Notamacropus eugenii: one gene and its partners. The protein of the gene in region 2 interacts with the protein of the main gene of each other region in a pairwise test. Links are inferred from orthologs where the notes say so. Each region holds a gene or a part of one and is shown on either strand. Other genes may lie near its edges. The genes, in order: SUPT20H, MAPK14 and DUSP1.

Region 1 (7,451 bases), on a different chromosome or scaffold from region 2:
AACAATAGTCAGGGGAAGTATATCACATCACAGCTTCGCTCTCTAGCCTCTCTGCTTTCAAAGGTAATAAAGTATAGAGCAAGGGCCTAAAATTGATGGCAGATAGGTGGTATAATGCACAGAATGGAATTCTGCTTCAGACAACTGTTCAGTTGAGTCTGACTCTTTATGACCCCTTTTGGAGTTTTCTTGGCAAAGATATTAGGATGGTTTACCCTTTCCTTCTCCAACTCATTTTACAGAGGAAGAACGAAGGGACTTGCCCATTGTCACACATCTAGTAAATAATCTGAGGTTGGATTTGAACTCAGGAAAATGAGTCTTCCTGACTTACGCCCAGCACTCGATCCACTGAGCCACCTAACTGCCCCAGTTCAGACAATTACTAGCTGTGTAATTTTGGGCAAGTTTATTAACTTGTCTGCCTCAATTCTGCATCTGTAAAATGGAGATAATAAAAGAACCTACCTATAAGTATCAAATGAGATATTTTATTTGTAAAAAAAAAAAAAAGTGCCTGGCACATGATAAGCACTATAAACGTGGGCTATCTTCATTGTCGTCATTATCCTCCATGCAAGATTCCCTCTTTGACTGTAAAGGACCTGTCACTTGTTCTGAGCCTCAGTTCCTTCATCTGCAAAACAAGGGTTAGGCTACCTGACCTCTGAGGTCTCTACTGCATCTAAGATCCTGGAGTACAGGCATGAGATGATCTTTCTCCTGAACTCTCAGGGGGCTCCTCTGAAGGAAGAACCCTAAGAAGAACTCTTAACTTCCCTTCCAGCTCCGACAGTGTATATAAAGCTTTGAAAATTCAAGACAAAGTAAGGGCATCACAGTTTCGTTCTCTGCTAAGTACAATCAGGAATGGACAGCTCCCTGCAAGATCTGATTTCAGCGGTGGCAATGACATTGACATGAAGCCTAAGGAAATCCTCCAGATCCGTTGTCTCGCCCTTTCAGAAGAGGGCTCCTTGAGTTCAGAGATGGTCTATTCTGGGCGTACTCCCAGGACCTAGCAGTGTGTTGTGTATGGTAAGCTTCATTCATTCAATTATTGGCCAAGGAAGACTCGAATTTGAACGCAAGACCAAGGGTGTCCCTGAACCCGGCAGCCTCAGTTTCCCCGTAAGTCACTTAATCGCCCTCAGGCTTAATCGAGATAATCCTAGCATTTACCGCACAGAATTACTGGTTCAAATACGTACGAGCCCTTTGCAAATGCCCACTATTACTATTTCTTACTGTAAATCATTTACAACTCTCGCCCTCAGAAGGAGCTCCTGGAGGGAAGGGGCCGTTTTATTTGTTTTGCCTTTCTTGGCTTCGCTTACCTGGGAGCCAAGGAGAGAGTAGGTGTTTGATAAATGCTTGGCGGTTGATTGATTGATTGATTGGATGATTAGCTAGAAGGGGAAGCAGACTCTGCACGAGCTTCGAGGCGGAGCGCTCGCTCGAAGGACTGCTCGGAGGAGGCATCGGGAGGCCAAGGTGTGACTAGGCTGCTTTTTTTTTAATTACTCAGGTGGGGTCAGAGATGGGAATCCAAGCCGATGGCGACCTAGAAAGAGATGGAAGCGGCTAAGGCACAGAGGTGGGGCGAGGACGGCCGCGAGCCCCTAAGGGCCCTGGAGGAGCAGCGGAGAAAGTGGAGAGCGCCCGCCGCCACAGGACAGGCCTCGGGCCTCCCGCCTTCTCCCGCACTCAGGGGCCCAGGCCTGGGGCTCCGCCCCGCCCCCGGCTCCTCCCCTTCCGCCGCCGCCGCCGCCGCCGCCGCCGTGAAGGAGCCCAGCCGGGCCGGCCGAATCGGAAGTGCTAAGACCGGAACAGGCCGCCGGCCAGGCGGGCGGCGAGGAGGGAGGGAGCTGAGTGCGTTCGGCTGGGCCGGGCAGGGCTGGGCCGGGGGGAGCCGCCGGCTCACTCGCTGTGTGGATCGTCCTGCCAAGGCCGGAGCTGGCGGCGCCGTCATGAGGCCAAGCGCCCCAGCCGCCGCCGCCGCCGCAGGGGCAGGTAGGGAGCGGGCGGGCAGGAGGCGAAGGGTGTGGCGGGCCGCTGGGGCCCGGCCCGGCCCTGCCTCAGCGATCGGCCTGGCCGGGCCCCCGGCTCCCCTGCGGCTACTCGCTGGCGCCCAGGACGACCGTCATCTCTGCTGGGGCCGGGGGGTAATGGGGGCGTGAAGAGGGGGGAGAGCCGTCCCCACGCCCTCCCCCTGACCCCGGCGAGTGTGGGGCTGGGGGCGGGCTGGGGTCGTGGTGCCCCCGCCTCGCCTCGGCCTCCCCTGGGGAGCGCGGGTACTCCCTCCCTCCGGCCTCCTGCTGGGGCTGGGCTCCGGCCCAGGTTCCCGGGCACAGGTATTTTCCGGAGACCTGGCACGGATTTTGTACCTGGCCGTGGCCCGGCTCCTTCCCGTCAGCCCCTGCCTCGCTGCCCGAGGCCCCCGGGCCTAATGGGAGAGTTTGCTTTTAAGATGGTCACTTGTGCTGCCCTTGAGCGTGGAGTGATGTGGGCCACGCAGGGCATCCATCCCCAAGTCTCTGGGGGGGCGTCCTCCAAAGCATCCTAGTACTGGAGGGGGCCTCCGAGGGGTCCGGGCCAAATCCCTCATTTTACAGACGAGGAGCCCAAGGCCCCTGGAGGTGGTGACTAGCAGAAAGCCTTTCCCCTCTCCTACTCCTTGCCTACCTTTAGATGAATTATGTATTCATCTCCGGACACTGCCCAAGTTGGAGGAGCTGGAACAGAGATGGCACTTAATAAACGCTGGTTATCTCAACCCAGGCAGTTGCCTAAGGGATCTTTTTCTATTATTTTTCTTGCACATGCAACTTACTGAAAGTCCTAAGTGAGAATTCCCTTGCTTTTCCAAATTAGGATGAGTAGGAAAGTAACACCTTGAGTGAGCATGAAACAAAATCAGATAGGGAGCCAGGTGAACAAGAACGTAGAAAGGATCACCCAAGTACTAGAAGGGTGATTGAATTTCTTGCTTGACCATCAAATGAGTTTAACTTGTGGAGTATTCTTTAGCCTGCATAGATAAAAAGAGATGAGGGTTAGGTGCTTTTGATAAATAGAGTGATATCAGCCTGCATAGTTATATCCCTCAAAGTGATTTTTAAAGTTGCTAAAATTCAAACAATCTTCATAGTTTATTTCAAGTTGAATTTTAAAGTAATCGATCTTGTCGGTATTTAAAATAAAATTCAGTCAGTCACAAACTTTTGATTGGTCACCCTCTCATCCTCCCTATATATAATTTATAAGTTAGTTAAATCATAGAATGAAAGAGTTCCTCTTTCAGAAGCCCTAATTAGCTATATGGCAGAATTTGGAATCAGAAGACCAGTGTTTAAATCCTGATTATGTTCTTTATTTACAGTGTGGCATGCAAGTCAGAGCCTCAGTTTCTTCATCTCTAAAATCAATGGACAAGTATTTAAGCACTTACTACTATGTGCCTCCATTATACCTCTCAGGGTGGTTGTGAGAATCAAGTGAGGTCACAATTTCCCACTTGGTGCCTGGCACATATCAGGCACATAATATACATTGTGCAAGCAATACACAGTTAAAATATATCTCCTTAACCTTACATCCCATCTTGAATAAAGAGGCTTCATCCTTTGAGGTTCCTTCTAACTCTGAACCCAGAGCCACAAATTGTACCCTTAGCTCAGTAAGCTAACTGCACATTAGTGGTCACGTGGAGCCAGGGAAAAAATTCATACAGATTAATAACTAACATATAGCACTTTAAAGTTTACTGTCATTTGATGTACATAAGAACCCTGTAATGTAGGTGCTATTACTATCCCCATTTTATAGAGCCGAAATTTTTGGAGTCACACAACTAATAAGTAAATAAAATTTGAACTCAGGTCCCAGACCCTAGGTCCAGTGTACTATCTGCTATGAAACTTTGCTGCCACAGGAGAATAACAAAATATATTCCCTTTGTTGAAGGGGAGAGAAAAGACTTTATACAAAAAAGTTCATTGAAATTGATAGAATTTTTAATCCTACTTTGCAAAAAAGTGTTTAGTGAGCATTGAAACTGATTTAAGAGAATAACTAACCCATAAGAGATTATGAAAAAGGTTTACTTCTTTGAGAGTAGAAGGTAGTTTAAACTATTCAATTATATTCTTCCAGAGAATGAAGTGTTTGGAAACTATGAGTATTTGATGATACGATATGCAAAATAAATGTATCTACTCAGTGTTGTTAATTTTACTTTTCAGAAATGATTTAAAGATTTTGTATAGAAGTTCTAGAAAGTGCTTTTTTAGTATTTGTATGGGAAGCTTAAAAATGTGAAGATGACTGTGTCACAAGCAATTTGCCAAGTTAGCCACCGAATACCTTTTGTTTCACTTCCATGAGCATTTTATGTTAATAAAATTGTTTTTGTTTTTTACTCTAACAGTACTATGAAATTGATCTTGGACATGATTGTCATCACCCTTCATCTACGCACATAAATTATTTTCTTCTTCTTTTGAATAATTTTTTTATGCTACAATGGTAAGTTTCATCTTTTGAGGTAAGGGGTCTGGACCTGTGATTTTATTGGTTTAGGGAACCCCCACTATAAAGAAATTTCCTCTGCTAGGCAGATCTATTCTGAAACTTAGAGTGCCTGGGGCATCAAGAGGTTAAGTGACTTGCCTACAGTCACACAGCCACTCTGTTTCATAAGTTCGGACTTAAGCCCAAGTGTTCAAACACAGAGGCCAGGTTTTTATCCACAACTCAAATGCCTCTCAAAATGAATTTTAAGGCATCTAGATGACACAGAAAATTGGGCACTGAACCTGGAGTCAGGAAAACCTGAGTTCAAATCTTACCTCAAGGTGTTACCTGTTTAATGCTGGACAAGGTATTTAATCTGTGTGCCTATGAAATAAAGATAATAATAGCATTTACCTTGTTGTAAGGATAAAATCAGTCTGTAAACATTTATTAAGTGACTACTGTGTGTCAGGCACTGTGCTAATTGCTGGGGAAAGCAAAAGAGTCAAAAAACAGTCTTTTCCCTCAAGGAGCTCACAGAAAGAGAGACAGCAAGCAAACAGAAATGTACAAACAAACTATACAGGATAAATATGAAATAATTAAAAGAGGGAATGCAGTAAAATTAAGAAGGGTTGGGAAAGACTTTCTGAAGAAGGTAAACTTATAGTTGGGACTTCAAGGAAGGCAGAGATGAGGAGAAAGAGAGTTCCAGGCATGGAGGGCAGTCAGAAAAAATGCCCAGAGCTGAGAGATGAAGTGTCTTGTTCATGGAAGAATCAGGAAGAATCAGGAGACGAGTATTAGATGTAAGAAGACTGGAAAGATAGGAAGGAACTAGGTTACAGACAGCTTTGAATGCCAGACACAGAATTTTTTATTTGATCCTGTAAGTGATAGGAAGCTACTGAAGTTTATTTTAGAGGGGAGGAGGGTAACCTGATCAGACCTGAATTTCAAGATAAGCACTCTTATGGCTAAATGGAGGATGGATTGGAGTGGGGAGAAACTTGAGGCAGTCAGACCCACTAGTAGGCTATTGCAATAGTGAAGACATGAAGTGTTAAGGGCCTGTACTAAAGTGATAACAGTGTCAGAGAGAATGGGGCATATTGGAGAGACGTTGCAAAGGTGAAATCACCAGGCCTTGGCAGCAGATTAGATGTGGAAGGACTCAAGACTGAGGAATCCAGGATGACCCTTTGTTGTAAGCCTGAAGGACTGGGAGGATGGTCTTGCCTTCTACACTAATAGGGAAGCTGGGGAATGGGGTTACAGTTTAGAGGGAAGGACAATGAGTTCTATTTGGGACATAATGAGTTTGAGATGTTGACTAGACATGAAGTCCAAGATGTTTGAAAGGCATTTGGGCAGGATAGGTTCATTTTCGAATCATAGGCATGGAGATGGTAATTAAATCCATGGGAGCTGATGAGATTACCAAGTGACATAGTATAGAGGGAACAGAGAAGTCCCAGGACAGAATCCCTAGGAACATTTAGCACAGAAGACTGAGAAGAACTGGTCAGATAGGTAGGAGAGAACTAGGAGACATTGGTGTATTGAAAACCTGGAGAGAGTATCAAGGAGAAAAGAGTGATTATCATTTTCAAAGAGGTCAAGAAGAATGAGGATTGAGAACAGGCCAGTGGATTTGATAACTGAAATCATTAATAACTTTGGAAAGAGCAGTATTGGTGGAATGATGAGATTGGAATTCACATTGTAAGACTTGGTCAAGAAGTGAATGAGAAAAGAGAAATCAGAAGTATCTATTGTCAACAGGGCTTTTCAAGGAGGTTGCCCATAAGAGGCAGAAGAGATAGAATAATAGCAGAGGTGAAAGGATCAAGTGAGGGATTTTTGAAAATGGGGGGGACGTAGGCAAGTTTGGGAATGATCCAGTAGAGAGGGAGAGATTGAAGATAAGTGATAGAATGTGGTTGACAGAGGGGTTATTTTGGGGAAGACAAGATGGAAGAGGCTCACTTGTGGAGGTGGAAGAGTGGGCTTTGGGAACAAGTAAGTTTACCTCACTATGTGAGACAAAGGTTAAGGAGGAGTTAGTGGCAGAAGTCATTGTAGTGATACAAGATGGAGAAGAGGGAGCACTTAGAGAATGACCTCAATCTAATTTGGCAGGGAGGGTCTAAGTAAAGTATAGGGCAAGGTTCTCATTTGAGGGGAAGTAGGGTTGAGGGGAGCCACGGGAAGTTGGAGAAGGTTATGAAAATTGAGAGTAAAGTACTTTTGTAAAGTACTTCATAAATCTTAAAGTATTATATAGAAGTGCTAGCTATTATTATTTTAAGGAAGAGACAGCTAGGTCACTCAGTGGATAGAGCACTGGTCCTGGAGTCAGGAAGACCTGAGCTCAAATGTGACTTCAGACACTCACTAGCTATGTGACCCTGGGCAAGTCACTTAACCTATTTGCCTTAATCCCTTGGAGAAGGAAATGGCAAACCACTCCCATATTTTTGCAAGAAAACTCTGTACAGGGGCACACAGAGTCAGACACAGCTGAAAGACCAGTTATCTTAAGATGTCTTAAAATATATGTTCTCCATGAATATGGCAGCATGTTTTTTATGACATAAAAGAAGTTGCATCAAAGTGCTTTTTCAAAGTAGCCTAATCTAGTGTGAAAGTACTTTAGTAATCACATTCAAGTTCTCTACCTCACAATTAACGTATCTATATTATAGACATCTTTTTTTTTTCTTTTCCGGGGTCTTTGGTGTATACTAAAAAGTTAAATATTTACTTTTTATACATAACAGAAAAGTTTCCAGCCACATGTAATTTTTCATTTCTGTTTACTTGAACTAAATGTTTAACCTGATGTATTTCTTCTGCCCAACTATCTCCTCTTTAGCAGTTACGCTTAGACAATAGTTGACCTTTTTTGGAAGTAAGTTCCCATTGTAAGCTCT
Region 2 (7,887 bases):
AAGGAGAGCATTCCAGACTTTTGGGGCAGCCAGTGAAAATGAACAATCAGGTTGACCATCAATTGGGGAATGGATGAAAAAGTTGTGGTATATGAATGTAATAGAATATTATTGTTCCATAAGAAATGGCAAGGAAGTAGACTTCCAAAAAACCTGGAAACATTTGCATGAATGGACGTTGAGTGAAGTGAGCAGAACCGGGAAAACATTGTACAGTAACATCAACATTGTTTGATGATCAAGTTTGACAGACTCAGCTCTTCTGAGCAATGCAATGATCTAAGACAATTTCAAAAGATTCATGATAGAAAATGCTATCCACAAGCAGAGAAAGAACTATGGAGTCTGAATGCAGACTGAAGCATACTATTTCCTCCTTCTTTAGTTGTTTTTTCTTTCTCATGGTTTTTCCCTTTTGTTCTGATTCTTCTTTCACAACATGACTAATATAGAAATATGTTTAATATGATCATACATATATAGCCTATACTTCATGTGGTCTTGGGGAGGGGGTTTGGAAGGAGGAAGGAAAATGTAGAACTTAAAATCTTATAAAAGCAAATGTTGAAAACTAAAAATAAATAAATTTAATTTTAAAAAAATGCCCAACTAGGAGACAGGTTGTGCCCAAGAAACAGCAAGTAGGCCAGTATAGCTGGATCACAGGTTTGTGGAGGGTAATAATTTGGAGCCAGGCTATTAAAGGATTTAACTGACAGAAGATTTTATATTTGATCCTGTAGGTAATAGGGAACTACTGTAGTTTACTAAAGGCATAGTCAGATCTGTCCTTTAAGAAAATCATGTTGGCAGCTAAGCGTATGATGGATTGAAGTGAGGAGAGGCTTTATAAGCAGTACAAGTTTACAAAAAGCTTGGTGAGAGACCTAATTACCCAATCATATTGATGGGGTGATGGGACCTGGGTCCCTAAAAGGAAAAGATCATGCCTTTGAAACCCAGTCCCTGAATTTTCCCATACATTTCAGCAGCCTAGATCACTAGTGCCTCCACCCAAGCCACCCACCTAGATGACCTAATTAGCTTACTTGACATTCCTTTCACTGTTTCACCAGGCCTACCCCAGACTATGTAGCACTCCTTAATCCCATTCAGATCCTTTTTGTATATAAGCATGTCTCACCCTCTTCAATTTGAAGATTCCCTAAGAATCTCTCCTCATTTGTCTGGAAGAAGGCTTGAGTGCTTGAATTCATTCCAGACACTGTCCTGTACCCTGATATTTCAGGGTTTCCAGCAACCCAAACCACATCAATATCCTCTCATGAACATTTACAGATGAAATGTAAATGTAAAATGAAAGAAGAGATTTGCCAAGACTTTTACAAAAAATTGCTTTTTCCTTTGATGACTGGGAGTCACCACTATTGTTTGTTAACTACAAAGAAAAAAAAACTCAACATTTGATTTGGTAGAGCAAGATGCTACCTCAAAGCCTGTCTTCCAACAAGGTGCCTCCCCTGCATATGTTAACTCATACATTCCTTGAACGGTACAATTGAGATAGCTAGGTCTACCCTCTTGTTATTAAAGTGAGACCTAAAACAGAACTAGGCTTTTTAAAAAGTGCTTGCCACTATCATGGAGATCTCTAGTACAGAGTCTAAATGAAAGAGGGATCAATCTCCTGTAGATGGTGAAGTCATCCAAATACCCTTATTTACAGATGACAGGGTGAAAATTCTAAAATGAGATCCATAATCACTTAAAAGACTTTAACCTAATTATCCATATGGAAAAATAAAGTATGTAAAGATGCTTACTGTCCAGACTATGATACAATAAGCTATTAGAGTAAAGAGCCCATAGTGTAGGTCCATCAGGGCATACATATTGGCTCTAACATACACTGCAAATGGACAATGAAATAAAAGAATTAAATAGGAAGGTTAAGAGAGTTTGAGGCAAGGAGATGAATAGTCAGACAAAGGATAGTGGTAAGTATAAAAAATAAAATGGATATTTTTAATTAGGTGAACTTTGCACAAACAAAATTAATGCCATTAAGAAAAGAGAAGTTGTCAACCAAAGAGAAAATCTTTATATCAAACATTTCTGATAATGGTCTAACATCCAAAATATATAGTCAGCCAAGAAAAATATACAAGAACAAAAGTAATTTTCTAATAGATAAGTGGTCAAAAGATAATAAGTAATTCTCAAAAGAATTGCAAACTAGTAAAAACCATATAAAGTGATACCATTAACTAAAAATAAGAGAACAGCAAATCAAAAGAACTCGTTTCACTTTATAACCAGCAAATTGGCAAAGGTACAAAAGATGGGAATAGTCAATGTCAAACGGATTGTGGAAAGAAAGACAGGCACACTAATGCATTGTTGGTAGAGCTGTAACTTGGTCTCACTATTTTATGGAAAGCAATTTGGAATTATTTGTGGAATGTGACTAAACTCCTATATCCTTTGTTCTAGTGTGATTCCACTAGTAGGCATTTTAACCTCAAGTTGGTCAATGACAAAAAAGAAAGACTTCACACATACCAAAATATTTGCTACAGAACTTTGTGATAGCAAAGAACTGGAAACAGTATATACCCAGTAACCAGAGAGTGACTAAACAAACTGTGGTATATTATGGTGCATAATGAAATGCCACTCTCCCTCATCATCTCCTACTGGCTTTCCTGGTTTCCTTCAAATCTCTACTGAAGTTTCATCTTTTCCCACACTTTCTCAAACCTATATCATTGCTAGTGCCTTCCCTATATGGGTCGTATTTATCCCATATATATGTTGTTTCTATTTGTTTGCTTTTTGTCTCCCTCATTAGATTGTAAACTCTGTGAGGGCAGGGACCGTTTTTACCTCTTTTCATAACCCCAATACTTAGCACAGTACCTGGCACATAGCAGGAGCTTAATAAATGTTTACTGACTGATAAGAAACAATATAATGACTAGAGAGAATTACATAAAAATACATAATTGATGCAAAGTAAAGTAAATAGAAGCAGGAAAACAATGTACAAAACAGTTTAATGAAAAAAACCAATTAAAACTGAATGCTGAGAAAGTATAATAACTAATCCAAGTCACCAAAAAGATATATTAAAATGGAGAGGTGAGGACCATGGGTGGGCAACACTACAGATAATGTGAAACTCTCTGGATGTGCTGTTTAGTTCTGCTGAATTTTTTTCCCTTTTTTTTTAAAAGTGTGGCCATACTGGGAAAAGTAAGTGATGCAAAAACTAAAAAGTTTGAAAAAAATTAAAGAGGTCCAATTGGAAGAGGAGGTAGGTAGGTTACATAAAGACAATGAAAGATAATAATGGATGACCCAAGTGTTCCACTGGTACCCATATACCATCAAGAGATATAGAGGAAGGAGCCCAAAATGTTTGGTGGATCCTGTGCAGAGGAATAATTACCATTCAAATGTTGGAAGTAATACCTACACAGAAGAAATCTCAAGTATGGTCAAATTTTGAAGCTTTGAAAGGTCTTCACTATTAGAGTTCTAGACTAGTAATTCTGATGGTGCTTCAAATCAGGTGAAAATATTTTATGATGGGAAACAGGATTTTTTGCAATCTTTTTTTCTTTCCAATCGCTAGTGTTTTGTTTTTTTCAAGACGTTCCCAGAGTACTGAACCACCATGGCTACCCATCTCCCACATTCAAAATCCAACTGAAATGCCACCTCCTCCAGAAAGCCCTCCCTGACCACCCCCAGGCCTGAAAGACCCTCGTGGTACCTGACAGGGCTATTCTTGGAGCTCTTTCCCTCGACTTCAGTACTTTCTCCAAGGATGAAGATGGCAATCCATCCATGCTTTCTCTCTATGGGTCCTTCCTGTCCACTTCTTTACATAAATTTCTCTAGAGGTTCTTTCCTCTTTATCACGTATAACTTTGCATTAAAGGTATTTCTATTTATTCATGTCAGCCAACCCACATAGGCTGTCAGCTTCCAGAAGGCTTGGGAGGATCCTAAGTATCATTTTAGACGTACGAGCACAGCACTTCACGCGTTAACTCATTAATTCCATCAGGTTGAAAGAGCCTCGAGGGCAACATCTGTCTTTTGCCTTTTTGTAGCCCGAGCGATGGGCACGGCGCCTGGCACATGGTGGGCACTCTCATTTAAGACGTTTATTGAATTGACTTTGATCCCTACGTCAGCCCCGTGAGTAGGCGCTCTCGTTATCTCCGTTTTACAGACCAGAAAACTGAGGCTCAGGGGTCAGGAGACGTCTCTGGGCTCACAGTGTCCTGAGGCACAGTCTGTGTCCTGGCATCTCTGCCAGCGCCTCGAGAGATTTAGTACATGACTGTGGCATTGAGGCTGGTGGTGAATCTGCCAAGCGGACACGAGGCTCCCCTCCATCGAGAAGGGTCCAGCTCGGCTGTAAGGCCCTGCAGGGACTGCACGGGCCTCTCCGAGCCGAGGCCAGCGGTTTGCCTGGGCAGAGGCCGGGCCAAGGGGCCGCGCGTTCCTCCCTCTCCGGCCCTACACGGGCAGGCCAGCGGGGTTTGACGCCCATCAATAAATGCGCACCGGCAAGACCCCCGTGTCCCTGTCTCTCCCACGGGACCACCGACAGCTTCCGGTCAGCTCTCATTCCCGCCTGGCCGAGAAACAAATCTCCGACCTGGGGAAGACACGCAGAGGCGTCCGCGAGCTACGTCTCGCGAGAACACGCCTCCTCCTCCGCTCCTCCTCCTCCTCCCCCTCCCCCTCCATAATCCCTTGCCTTCCCCCTGTCCCCCGCGCGAGCAGGTTCCATATTGGGTAAAATCTGGGCTCGCGGAGGACCTCCCCGGACCCACCCCGCGCGAGGCTCTCGCGAGATCTCGTCCAGGAGTTCCCGTCTGCGGGGAGGTGGGGTGGGGGGAGGGGAGGAGCTCGCAGATTCGCAGGCGCCGGAGCCGCAGCTGGCGCGGGAGCTGCCGTCGGAGCCTGAGCTGCACCGCCGCTGCTGCAGCAGCCACCTCCGGGCGGAGAAACCGGCCCTTTCGCTACCCCCGCTTCGGACCCCCTCCCGGCCCAGCCCTCGGGTACCGGGGGGAAGCAGCAGGAAGGCGGGCGCAGTCCCGGGTCCTGAGTGTGGGAAGCCCCCCTTGCCGGTGGCCAGGGTCCCCCGGGGGTGGGCAGAGTCGCCGCGCGCCCCCGGCTGACAGCGGCTTCGGGGGTCGGCGGGGCCGTCGCTGCGGCAGCACCTGCGGAGCGCCGGGGGAGCTGCGGGGGGGGCCCGGCCCCGACGGGCGGGCGGGCGGAGGCGCTGGCTGGCTCCCGCTGGGCCACCTCCCCTGCGCTGCAGCCGTCGGTGGAAGATGTCTCAGGAGAGGCCTAAGTTCTACCGGCAGGAGCTGAACAAGACCATCTGGGAGGTGCCCGAGCGCTACCAGAACCTGTCCCCAGTAGGCTCCGGCGCCTACGGGTCGGTGTGGTGAGTATCCCGAGCTGGAGGGTGGGACGGGGCCGGAGTCTCCAGCTTGCTTCCCAGGAGCTCAGGGATGCGCCAAGCGGCAGGAATTCCCCCCCACCTCGGAGAGGGCACTGCTCCCTCCTGCACACCCTCGTGCCCCCTCTTGCACGGCGGAGCCAGCTTATGACAACTCGTTTGCACCTACGTAGAGCCGTTTGCATTAGTCGGATACCGGACGGCCCGGGTTGCCTGCTCAAGGGGACTCTCTTTCTTCAGACCCCCCCGCCCCGCACCCCGTAGGGCTGCAGGGAAGATGGGAATGGGAGGTCAACTTATTGAGGAAGTTCTACCAGCGGAAGGCAAGCTTGGCCCTTTATTGATCTTTGCCAGCTTCGGCGGGCGTTCGCGACGGTTCCCCACCCGCCCCCGCCGTGTGTCAGATCTGGCACGGGCTGCAGACAGGCCAAACATGGGGAAGCAGCCTAAGAATGGGAGAACTAGTAAGACGTCGTTCTTGGGCAGCAAACCCCACTGGGTTTTGTGCCTGATGGGGGGGAAATGTTTTTTCTTACTTTTTTTTTTTTTGCAAACATCTGTTGATTAAATATGAATCCAGTTTTCAGAAACGGGCATATTTGATGAGATTTCATCATTCTCAACCTTTTGAGCTTGAAATTTCTTACATTTCTGCAAGCCTGCCAATTTTTAATGTGCATTGCAACCTCAGCTGGTTGGAAGCTAATTTTTTTTTTTTAAATGAAAAGAAGGCACCTACAAGGCTGTTGTCATTTTAGAGTTCCATGGAATGATTGCAAGCATTAGAGCATTTTTTTATTCAAGTATTGTAAAGTTCTTGACAGAACATTTTCATTTGACTCTGGGAAAATGGGCCTGGTGTGACATCCCTAAGATGAAAAGTGGTTGTTCACAGTGACAGAAATTATATTTTTGCACGATTGGGATAATATTCAATTCACTTTACCAAAAGTATTGTAAAAGTTTCATACCATGGTGCATTTGCTAGTGTACACAAGAACTTTCTACATTTATTGCTGAGAAAACAGGTGTAGAATGTTTGCCTCAGGAAAACAAGAAAATGGAGAACTTGAAAGAGGTCACTGGCTATGATGAATTGTAAATGTGTAGAAAGTATGTTACCATAATAATTCTTTATGTAGCGTAATTAAATTTTTTAAGTTAGATTCTTAGAATTGGAAGGGACTTTTGAAATTGTCTAATGTAGCCTTCCAGCAAAAGCAAAACTTCTGCAGTGTCACTAACAAATGTTCATTCTGTCTCAGTTTGAACAGTTCACTTCATATCTCATCGTTTCACAAGGCAGACCTTTCTCTTCTTCAAATTTATTTTAGTTTAAACACGTATTTAGCCAATGAAAGCCATATGATGAATTGTGTACTTTAGATTTGTCATAAATATTGGCCTGGAAATAAATAGGTGATGGTTACAGGGTTTTTTTTCTTTAGTGTTGTGTGCATATATAATTTGAAAATTGTTTGTAACAATTTCATACTTGCCAAATAATTTCTGTTTTTAGGAAATATTCCTCTTTGGCACACTCCTTCAACATGATTCCTGTGCTCCTTAGAGTCACATCATGAATTTCCTGTTTGGTAGAATTTGCTCTGAAACTGAGATTGTGCAATTGCATCCAGTAACAGATCATATTGCATTTTTAAGCTCACTGTTTAATATGTGTAGCAGATTGTACAGTACTCTGCATCTTTTTTTCCCATTCTTTCCAAATGAAAATTTTCATTATAAAGCAACTCGATTGAAATAATTTCTTTTCTGAAAACTCATCTATATTTGCACATTTTCAGTTTTATGTGTGACTATTTCTTTACCAGATCATTTGGTCCATCTTAAGTAAATCAATCTTAATGAATTCGATTTTTGTTTCCAACTAGAATTATTTATTAGTTGAGTGATTTTATGCTAGATGAACTAGTTGAATTGAACTAAAGAATCTACCCAATGGATTTATTCTTGCGTGTACTGTTTGTTTTCTGAACATTAGCAGTTCTGCATGAAGTAAACTGTCCACTGAGATATCTCTTATGACAGTGTGAGAATAGTAAATCAATGAGTACATTGTTTGGTTTGGTGTTATCTACTACATTTGCTGATTAGCTTAATTTATGAGCTATGCCTTTAAAGTAAAGTGACTAAAACATACATGCAAAGAGTTTGGGAGCAAGCTCTTCAAAACCTTCATAGTTTGTATGCCTAAGACTCTTGCAACATATTTGGAGCTCTTTTGGAATTATCCATCAGAATACATTCTTGTGAATATTTTCAGTCGTAGCATATTTTCTTCCTTTTGAAGCTGCTAGCTACAACCTTTTCCTTTGTAGGTAGGTTTCTGGTGGAGTAATGTAGGTGATGAAACTGGAAGATACTGGTTTTTTGGTCAAAAAGCCATGTACATCTATAAAGCATTGAGACTTTTTTGT
Region 3 (7,870 bases), on a different chromosome or scaffold from region 2:
AGGATTACAGTACTCCAACAAAAAAAAAATTGAGGTATTTGGTTTTTCTAGAAGTGGAATCTGAGGTTTGTGAAAGCTGAACACATCTACACAAATAAATAATGGGAACTTTTGCATTGTATATGTGTGTGTGTGTGTGTGTGTGTGTGTGTGTGTGTATACACACATCAAAGGGGAACGAACAGCCTCTTCTGCTGGCTAAGTGTCCAGAAATGGTAATACTGGTAGGTTTGTCAAGCACAAAGACTAAAGTTCTAAGAAGAGAGGGCACTAGGATCAGCCCACAAAGTGAGCTGTGAAAAGTCTTTTTTCTTTTGCTTCTCTCCAAAGGAACCTGATGTACCAACTAAACATTGGTCCAAGACACACTTCAGAATTGAGCACAAATGAACCTTAGAGTCAGTTCAGTCTAGTTCACCTATGTTGTTCTCAAGTGTGGAGTTCAGGAAAGAGTTGAACCCAGATGACATAACAAAGCTGAGACATTATCCCCCAGAGTTATTGCACTTTGTTTTAGACGGAAGGAGCCTCAAGTTCCTCATGTGGTTCTTGAGTAACTTCCCTGAGTCTCTCAGCAGCTTGGGGAAGTGGTCATTGGGCTCTGAAGGTAGTTCAAAGCATTAGAGGAAGAATGGACGGGGATGGAGACAGGGAAATTAAAGACTGTGGTTGTGGAGGTCCCTCGGTCAAGTACAGCCATGGCAGGACTTCCTGCTTCTGCCGAACAGTGAGGAGCTAGGACTTGGGACTCGAACTGTAATAACTGACCCATAAAGCTGAAGTTGGGAGAGATGATGCTTCTTCTTTGCTTCACAAACTCAAAGGCCTCATCCAGTTTGACCCGATTGGTCCTCATGAGGTAAGCTAGGCAGATGGTGGCTGATCGGGAGATACCAGCCTGACAGTGAACGAACACCCTTCCTCCTGCATTCTTTATAGAGTCTGGAATACATACAATGGACAACTGTTTACCCCCAAAAAAGTATCAATACACTGGGCTTTTTCTTCCCAGCATAACCCAAACCCAATGTTTTGAAAGACATTCATAATGATTGATTTACCTATGAAGTCAATGGCTTCGTTGAACCAGGAGCTTATATCAGCCTTGTGGTTGTCCTCCACAGGGATGCTCTTGTACTGGTAGTGATCCTCAAAATGGTTGGGGCAATTTGCAGAGACATTGATCAAGGCTGTGATTCCCAAGGCATCCAGCATATCTTTCCTGGACGCATGATAAGCACTGCCTAAGTACAGAAAAGGCAGGATCTCCACTGGACCACCCTGAAATACAAGAATTTTTTAAATGGTCAGACACAGTCCCAAATTATGCCATATGAAATATGTGCAAAATATTCAAACCCTTCTGGTGCCTGATTTTCTTATTAAGTTATTGGCTGAGGAGGACAATTCACTAGATACAATTACTGCCGAAAGAAATGAGCACACTACCACAAGGCAGTGACTCTGGGTGGTGGGGGTGGGAGACGATAGGATTCATTAATCATCGTGTCACTATAAAAGTGAATTATTTCCATTGTCTTAAAGGATGGTCAACACCTGGATATCTAACGTCCTATCTACCTCGATCTACTTTACTCTGAAATGAAAAAAATTAAAAATTCCTGGTGGTCATTACAGGGTATTTTCTATGCCCCTTCTCCCTAATATTCGAGCTCTGTGCCTTTCTCCCTCCCCCATTATACTGACCTGGTCATAGAGAGGTGTGCCACAAGAGCTGCACCCTGATTCTGCACTGCCGGGGACGTTGGAGCTCAGAGGTAGGCTCAGACCCATAGGTGTCGACTGTTTGCTGCACAATTCCGAGCAGGCAGAAGAGAAAGCTTCGTATCCTCCTGAAAATACAAAATAGACATTGTCTCTCATTACCTCTGACAACCAGGTATTTCATTCCGCTTCTCATCATTACCCCCAACCTGAAACCACACTTTAACAAGAGAGGGAGGCAAAGAAATTCCTAGTCTGGTGTTTTTAGCAAAGCTTAAGATCCTCTCTGTGACAATCGCTTTTGCTCGGAGTTTTTGTTTAAAAGGGTTCGCGATTGTGTCGAGAATAAGGGCCAGGAGTATTTGAGTAAAAAAGCTCCGGAAGACAGAGATTTTTCAGAGAGCCCCTAAAGATTGCCCCACTTCGTCCCCATCACTAGCCCCACAAGGACTGCCAGTGGCAAGTTAGGGCAATCCGTACCTTTGAGAAAGCAGATGCGCGCTGCGCGAGCCTCCCTACACAGGGCACTGGCGGCCAGCATAAGGGTGCTGTCCCTCTTAGACAACTCCAGCTCCGGGCTTCGTTCGTCCAGGAGCACCACGGCGTGGTAGAGGCCAGCAAGCAAGCGGCTCCGCAGCTCCTCGTTGGGGACGATGTGCTCCAGTCCCATGGCGCCCTTGGCGCGCCTCTTGACTATGGTGCTGAAGCGCACGTTGAAGGAGCCCAGGATGTGCGAGGAGTTGAAGGAGAAGAAAGAGCGGCAGTCCAGGACCAGACACTGAGCCGCCCGCTCCTGCAGCAGCGCTCTCAAGCTCTCGCAGTCCAGGGAACAGATTTCCATGTTGACCATTGCTCGAGGGAGGCCCCCCAGCGCGCCCAAAGGTGGCAAGATCGAGAGTGGGGGAATGCGGGACAGAGCCGAGCGGGCTAGCGCTCACCACGTAGCAGGCAAACAAAACAAAAAGGGGCAGGGGGACTTAAATCACCTTCCTTCTTGGGTGGGGAAAGGGAAAAAAGGGAAATCCACAGCGGGTTGGCTGGCGCTCCCGGGCTCAGGGAAAGTTCTTTGTTTCTCTCCAAAGGGCTGGAGTCTTTTTGTTTTGTTTGTCTTACATTCCTTGTAAAAACACAGCCCCTTAGACCAGGTTTTCTAGCGTAGAGTCTGTGGCTCAAAACAAGCTTCCTTAAGACTTTTGTATTCGAAGAAGGTAGAAGACAAGAAAAGTGTCCAAATGGAGTTTCTTTCTTTTTCTTCCTGCTTTCCTTTCTATTAAGCGGATCTCAGACAGCTGTACCCTCACTGTGCTTTCTGCTAAGCGCACGTTGGACAAGCTGCCTTATATAGTCCAACCCGGAACTTTTTCCCCCCCTCTGTGTGAGTGTGAGTGTGTGTCTGTGTGTGTCTGTGTTTGTTTGTTTGAATGGGGCAGGGTCACGTGGTTGAGAGGTGACGTCACCGGCCAGGCCCGCGCTCAGCCCTCCTGGTGCCAGAAGCGAAGACGTCATCGCCCTACCAGCAAAGACAACTCTATGAAAACGCGGCGCCAGAGCACCAGCCGGGCCTCCCCACCTCCTTCCCCTCCCCCTATCCGCCCCATCCTGCTCTTTGGGCAGGAAACCAGGTACTGGAGCCAGCAGCTGCTCCCTGGGGGGGAAGGGGGAGGGGACGGAGGAAGCGAAGCCACTGCCCGCCCTTCCAAGAGCTGATTAAAGGGTATGAGATGTACCTAAGAGAGAGCTAAGAATACGCGCCCTACGAACCAGCTCGCTTCTATCGGGAGTCTTGCGAGGGGGCACAGGAAGAGGCACTGGATTCGGAATCCGAATACTTTGGTTCCAATCCTGGCTCTGACCTTGGCAGCGACAGTGAGCAAGATACAACCTCCTCTGGTCCTCAGGTCCTGACCTGTAAGATGAAGGGTGTATGAACTAATCTATCCCTAAGCTTTCCAACTCTAAAATCCCATGATTGCGTCCTCTGGGAGCCGTTCGGAACGTGGTTACAACAGAACCAGGGAGGCTGGTGTTTATAGGAAAATATATAATTTTGCTGTTAGAAAACTCATTCATACCCAAAGTGGGTCCCCTTCATTCACTGTCTATATGCTGAATCAATTGTCGGGTTTGGTGATCTAGTTCTTCGGAGTTGAGATCTAACTCGTTGTTACTATTGAATGGGATTAGGGAGGAAGCCTCATTGTGCTAAAATGCGGCAGCTTAGTGACCAGAACCCGCCTCTAGGACAAGGGAGGACAACCAGGCATCTCATTGGACACTGAAGGGCGAGAGGTTTTTTTAAACGAGCCTTCGAAGCCTCTTCTACCAACCGACTTAGGACAACTGGGGCGAGTTTCCTAGAGACACTTAGATCCGACAATAATCGAAAGTGTGTTGTGCATTCAAGTGACACAGGTTTATGAGTATTTCTGCAAGTTCCCTTTAGCTTTGTCATTTGATCTTTTTAGAAAACTGTCACTTGTCCTTTTTTATTCCACCTCCCCTCCCCTGAACCCCTCTAGTCTCTAGTTCCATTTTGATTGTAGATACATACTTCTGCAATTTGTATTACTGGACTAGGTCAGTATGTAAATATTACACCACTATGTGTCTTAGTGCCCAGGACTTTAAGAACATGTTGTGGTTTCTTCTCCCACTGTTCTTTGGGGATTTCACAAACGGACCTCTGTGTCGCTTTACTGAATGCTGGTTCATCAGGATACAACTTCTTATGTCAGGCTGGGTTCAGATGCGCCTACGCGTACTGAAACTCCCAGATGGGTTTCTTTTCTAAAGGTTCAGGGCACAAGTCTCTGGTTGGAATTTTCTTAAATTTATTTTCAGTCCAGTTATTGCTCATATCAGATCAGAGAGGCCCTCTGTGCCAACGTGTTAATAATTACAAAAGAAGAAAAAAAGAAAATTCTTCAAAAATCATTGTTTGTTTCTAGCTTGTTATGTAGCTTCTGTGGTTGTTTGTTTATAGTTTATGGTGGCATAGTAGGTTACTGGTATTACATAGTAGACATCATTATAAAAGCTTTTATTATGTGTCCAGTGCAGAAGTCAATCCTCTGTACTTTGAATTCTCAAAGACCAAGATAATGTGTAAGAGGTTTACAAAGGTCTATTTTGTATTATGATTCTATGAGTTTATCCCCTCCAGTAGACAGAAAATAGATTGAGTATACACATTGTAGATGCTCAGAAAATATTTGTTGAAATGAATTCATAGCTGTTCTATGAAAAACTCCAAAGACAGAGGGTTTTCTATATACTAAAAATTCTTAGGATTAATTGAACTGCCTAGTCAAAGCTTCCATTATTCGAACAGGTTCAGGTCATAGCTCATTTAAAGATAGGAACAAGTGAACAAAGGCAAATATTATTATCTCCATTCATTTAGCATTCTTATGAGCTCCCAGCAGTGTGGAAGAACAATTCCAGTGGCCCTAAAGGCTGTGGTACAGTAGAAAGAACCATGAATTAAGAGTCACATAACCTGGGTTTGAATCCTGATTTAGCTATGATTTTGACATGGAAGATATGAAGTAACTAACTTTCCTCCTTTATAAAAATGAAGAAATTGGACTAGAAGATTTCTAAGATGTAACAAGATGGTCCAGGAAACTCCTGATGAGGAAACTTGGAATCTTTACCCACCAAAACAGCTTCAGTCACTATTCTGCAACTTTTGGTTTTAGAAAGTTTCCTAGGGTATTGAGAGATCAAGTGAGTTGTCCAGGGTCACACAGAAAATAAGAGTCAAAGGCAGGACTTGAACACAGGTCTTCCCCACTCTGAGGCCCAGTACATAATTAATACAGGCTAGGTGTTAGGCATTATTTCTGGCATAATCATTACAAAACACTTTTCATGTATTTCCCTCTGTAATAAAAGAAATTATTTAGAATATTCTTCGAAACATTTGGTTTTTTCTACCTAACATAAGGCCCCAAAGAATTTGAACTAGGCTTCCAAGGCCCCCATGCATTAGCTCCTCTAGGGCAGGAATTGTCTTTTGCCTTTTTTATCCCCAGCACTTAGCACTATGCCTGGCACAAAGAAGAGGCTTCATAAATGACTAACTGAACCAAATACAGAACAACATCCAGTTCATTGTTTTGTATATAGGAGTTGTTCAATAAATGTTGAATGAATGTATTCTAACATTGTTACTGAGCATTACATATACCTTTTAGAAGCATATAGGACCCAGGCTTCAGTTGCATTATAATATATTAAGAAATAATACAATGGCATATCCAAAAGTCCTTGGTCTCACTTGAATCAAAGACTCAGTCAGTCTTCTTTGAATGGTAGACATTCAGTTCTCAGGAGGGATCTTGATCCACTGAAACTAAAATTATTAGAGAAAGTTTGCCTTGTTTATGGTGACCAAATTAAGCTATGGAAATCTCTTGTGATTGATCAATTGGGAGAGATCATTTAAAACTTTGTTCACCTTGGATAGAGTCATTATAGAGGGAGATGCTTCTTTCAGGGAGATAGTTCTCTAAGACTTTTGATTTACTTAAACAGAATTCTTGTACAATTAAAGCAAATCAAAACCTATGAACTTATACTATATTTTTTCCTACTGTGAACTGTCTTTTTGTTTCATGGTTACTGTAAAATATGTTGGGTCACAGATAATTCTAATTAGCAATAACTCTGCCCACATGAATCTATTTCCAAACAGAAGTTCTTGTATATTAATTATTGTCTCTATCAAATTGATTTGTCACCTTCCTCTCCTTTTCCCCCAACCCAATAAACTCCAGTGGCTCCTTATTATCTCCAGGATCACATATGAATGCTTTATTTGGCTTTTGAAGTCTTCCTTTCTAGCATTCTTATACCTCACTACCTTCTGTGTGCTTAGCAATCATGACAATGGACTGTTCCTGTTCTCTTTTCTCAGTACATTTTCCCTGGTTACTCTCCTGGAATTCTCTCCCTTCTGGTCCCCACCTCCTGGCTTACCTACCTTCCTTTTTCAAGACTGAGCTCAAATCCTACCTTCTGTAGGGTAGGACTGCTAGAGCCTTCCCTTTGAGATTAATTTACATTGTATATTCAGTGGATTCTCATTATTCCAGGTAGTTATAGTCTATTAAGTTGTGGCAAACACTGAATTAGCAAATACTGAACCATTACACTTAGGAGAAATACAGGTTAAGTTCCTGCAAGACTCTAATCACAGTTTATTTTAGCACTTTCTAGAACAGCCTCACATAAATCTGTGAATTTTCTCTTCTTTTTTTCTGGATGTTCCATATCGTTGAATCTTTAGCATTGAACTCACAGCAAACAACACTAACTCATACCTAAATGAAGCTTATCTAGCACACATACTTTCTCCTTAAGGCACATCACAGCCTTCTCATGCCTAGGAACACTAGTCAGCCCTTCAGCACTATGTTTGGGGGTCATTTTAGACAGCTAAATCACCAACAAAATGCACCAAAATGTGAAAAATGTAGTACTAAATAGACCTGGAGACCTATTTCAATTTCCAGGAGTCATGATGGCAAAGTAAGCAGTAAATTGCTCTCATCCTCCCTTATGGACCTTGAAAAACCCAGAGACTATTACCCCAGGAAAAATCCTGGAATAGTGGAGCCAGAATTGGACAAGTAGAAGCTAATGACTCTATGAGACATCAAGAATCAGTTAAACAAAATGAAAAGAATGAAAAAATAGAAGAAAAAGTAAAATACCTCATTGGAAAAAAACAACTGACCTGAAAAATAGAGCCAGGAGAGATAATTTAAGAATGATTGGTCTACCTGAAAGTCATGATCAAAAAAAAGAGCCTGGACAGCATCTTTCAGGAAATCATCAAGGAAAACTGCCCTGAAGTCCTAGAATCAGAGGGTAAAATAGCCATCTAAAGAATCTACAATCACCTCCTGAAAGAGATCTCAAATTGAAAATGACAAGGGATATTGCAGCTAAATTCCAGGATTATCTGGAGAAAATACTGCAAGCAGCCAGAAAGAAACAATTTAAATATCATGGAACCACAGGACCTTGTAGATTTTACATTAAAAGATCGACAGGCAAAGGAGCCTGTCAACCAACTATCCTGAGAATTGAGCATCATCTTTCAGGGAAGGAGATGGATATTCAATGAAATAGGAGA

Evidence for each region.
Region 1: the proteins of MAPK14 (region 2) and SUPT20H interact in binary tests that used the Homo sapiens proteins (3 or more experiments, as listed by UniProt). The link is inferred for Notamacropus eugenii from reciprocal best matches to the Homo sapiens genes MAPK14 and SUPT20H.
Region 3: the proteins of MAPK14 (region 2) and DUSP1 interact in binary tests that used the Homo sapiens proteins (3 or more experiments, as listed by UniProt). The link is inferred for Notamacropus eugenii from reciprocal best matches to the Homo sapiens genes MAPK14 and DUSP1.

What each region holds. Positions count from the first base shown.
Region 1 is NC_092876.1:98,555,780-98,563,230, reverse strand, and holds the start of SUPT20H (transcription factor SPT20 homolog), read left to right. Parts: upstream 1-4,429; 5' UTR 4,430-4,524; coding exon 4,525-4,527; intron 4,528-7,451. UniProt on the Homo sapiens protein: Required for MAP kinase p38 (MAPK11, MAPK12, MAPK13 and/or MAPK14) activation during gastrulation.
Region 2 is NC_092873.1:93,169,900-93,177,786, forward strand, and holds the start of MAPK14 (mitogen-activated protein kinase 14), read left to right. Parts: upstream 1-4,876; 5' UTR 4,877-5,318; coding exon 5,319-5,434; intron 5,435-7,887. UniProt on the Homo sapiens protein: Serine/threonine kinase which acts as an essential component of the MAP kinase signal transduction pathway.
Region 3 is NC_092872.1:404,682,570-404,690,439, forward strand, and holds the start of DUSP1 (dual specificity protein phosphatase 1), read right to left. Parts: upstream 3,053-7,870; 5' UTR 2,576-3,052; coding exon 2,206-2,575; intron 1,854-2,205; coding exon 1,708-1,853; intron 1,282-1,707; coding exon 1,062-1,281; intron 943-1,061; coding exon 572-942; 3' UTR 1-571. UniProt on the Homo sapiens protein: Dual specificity phosphatase that dephosphorylates MAP kinase MAPK1/ERK2 on both 'Thr-183' and 'Tyr-185', regulating its activity during the meiotic cell cycle.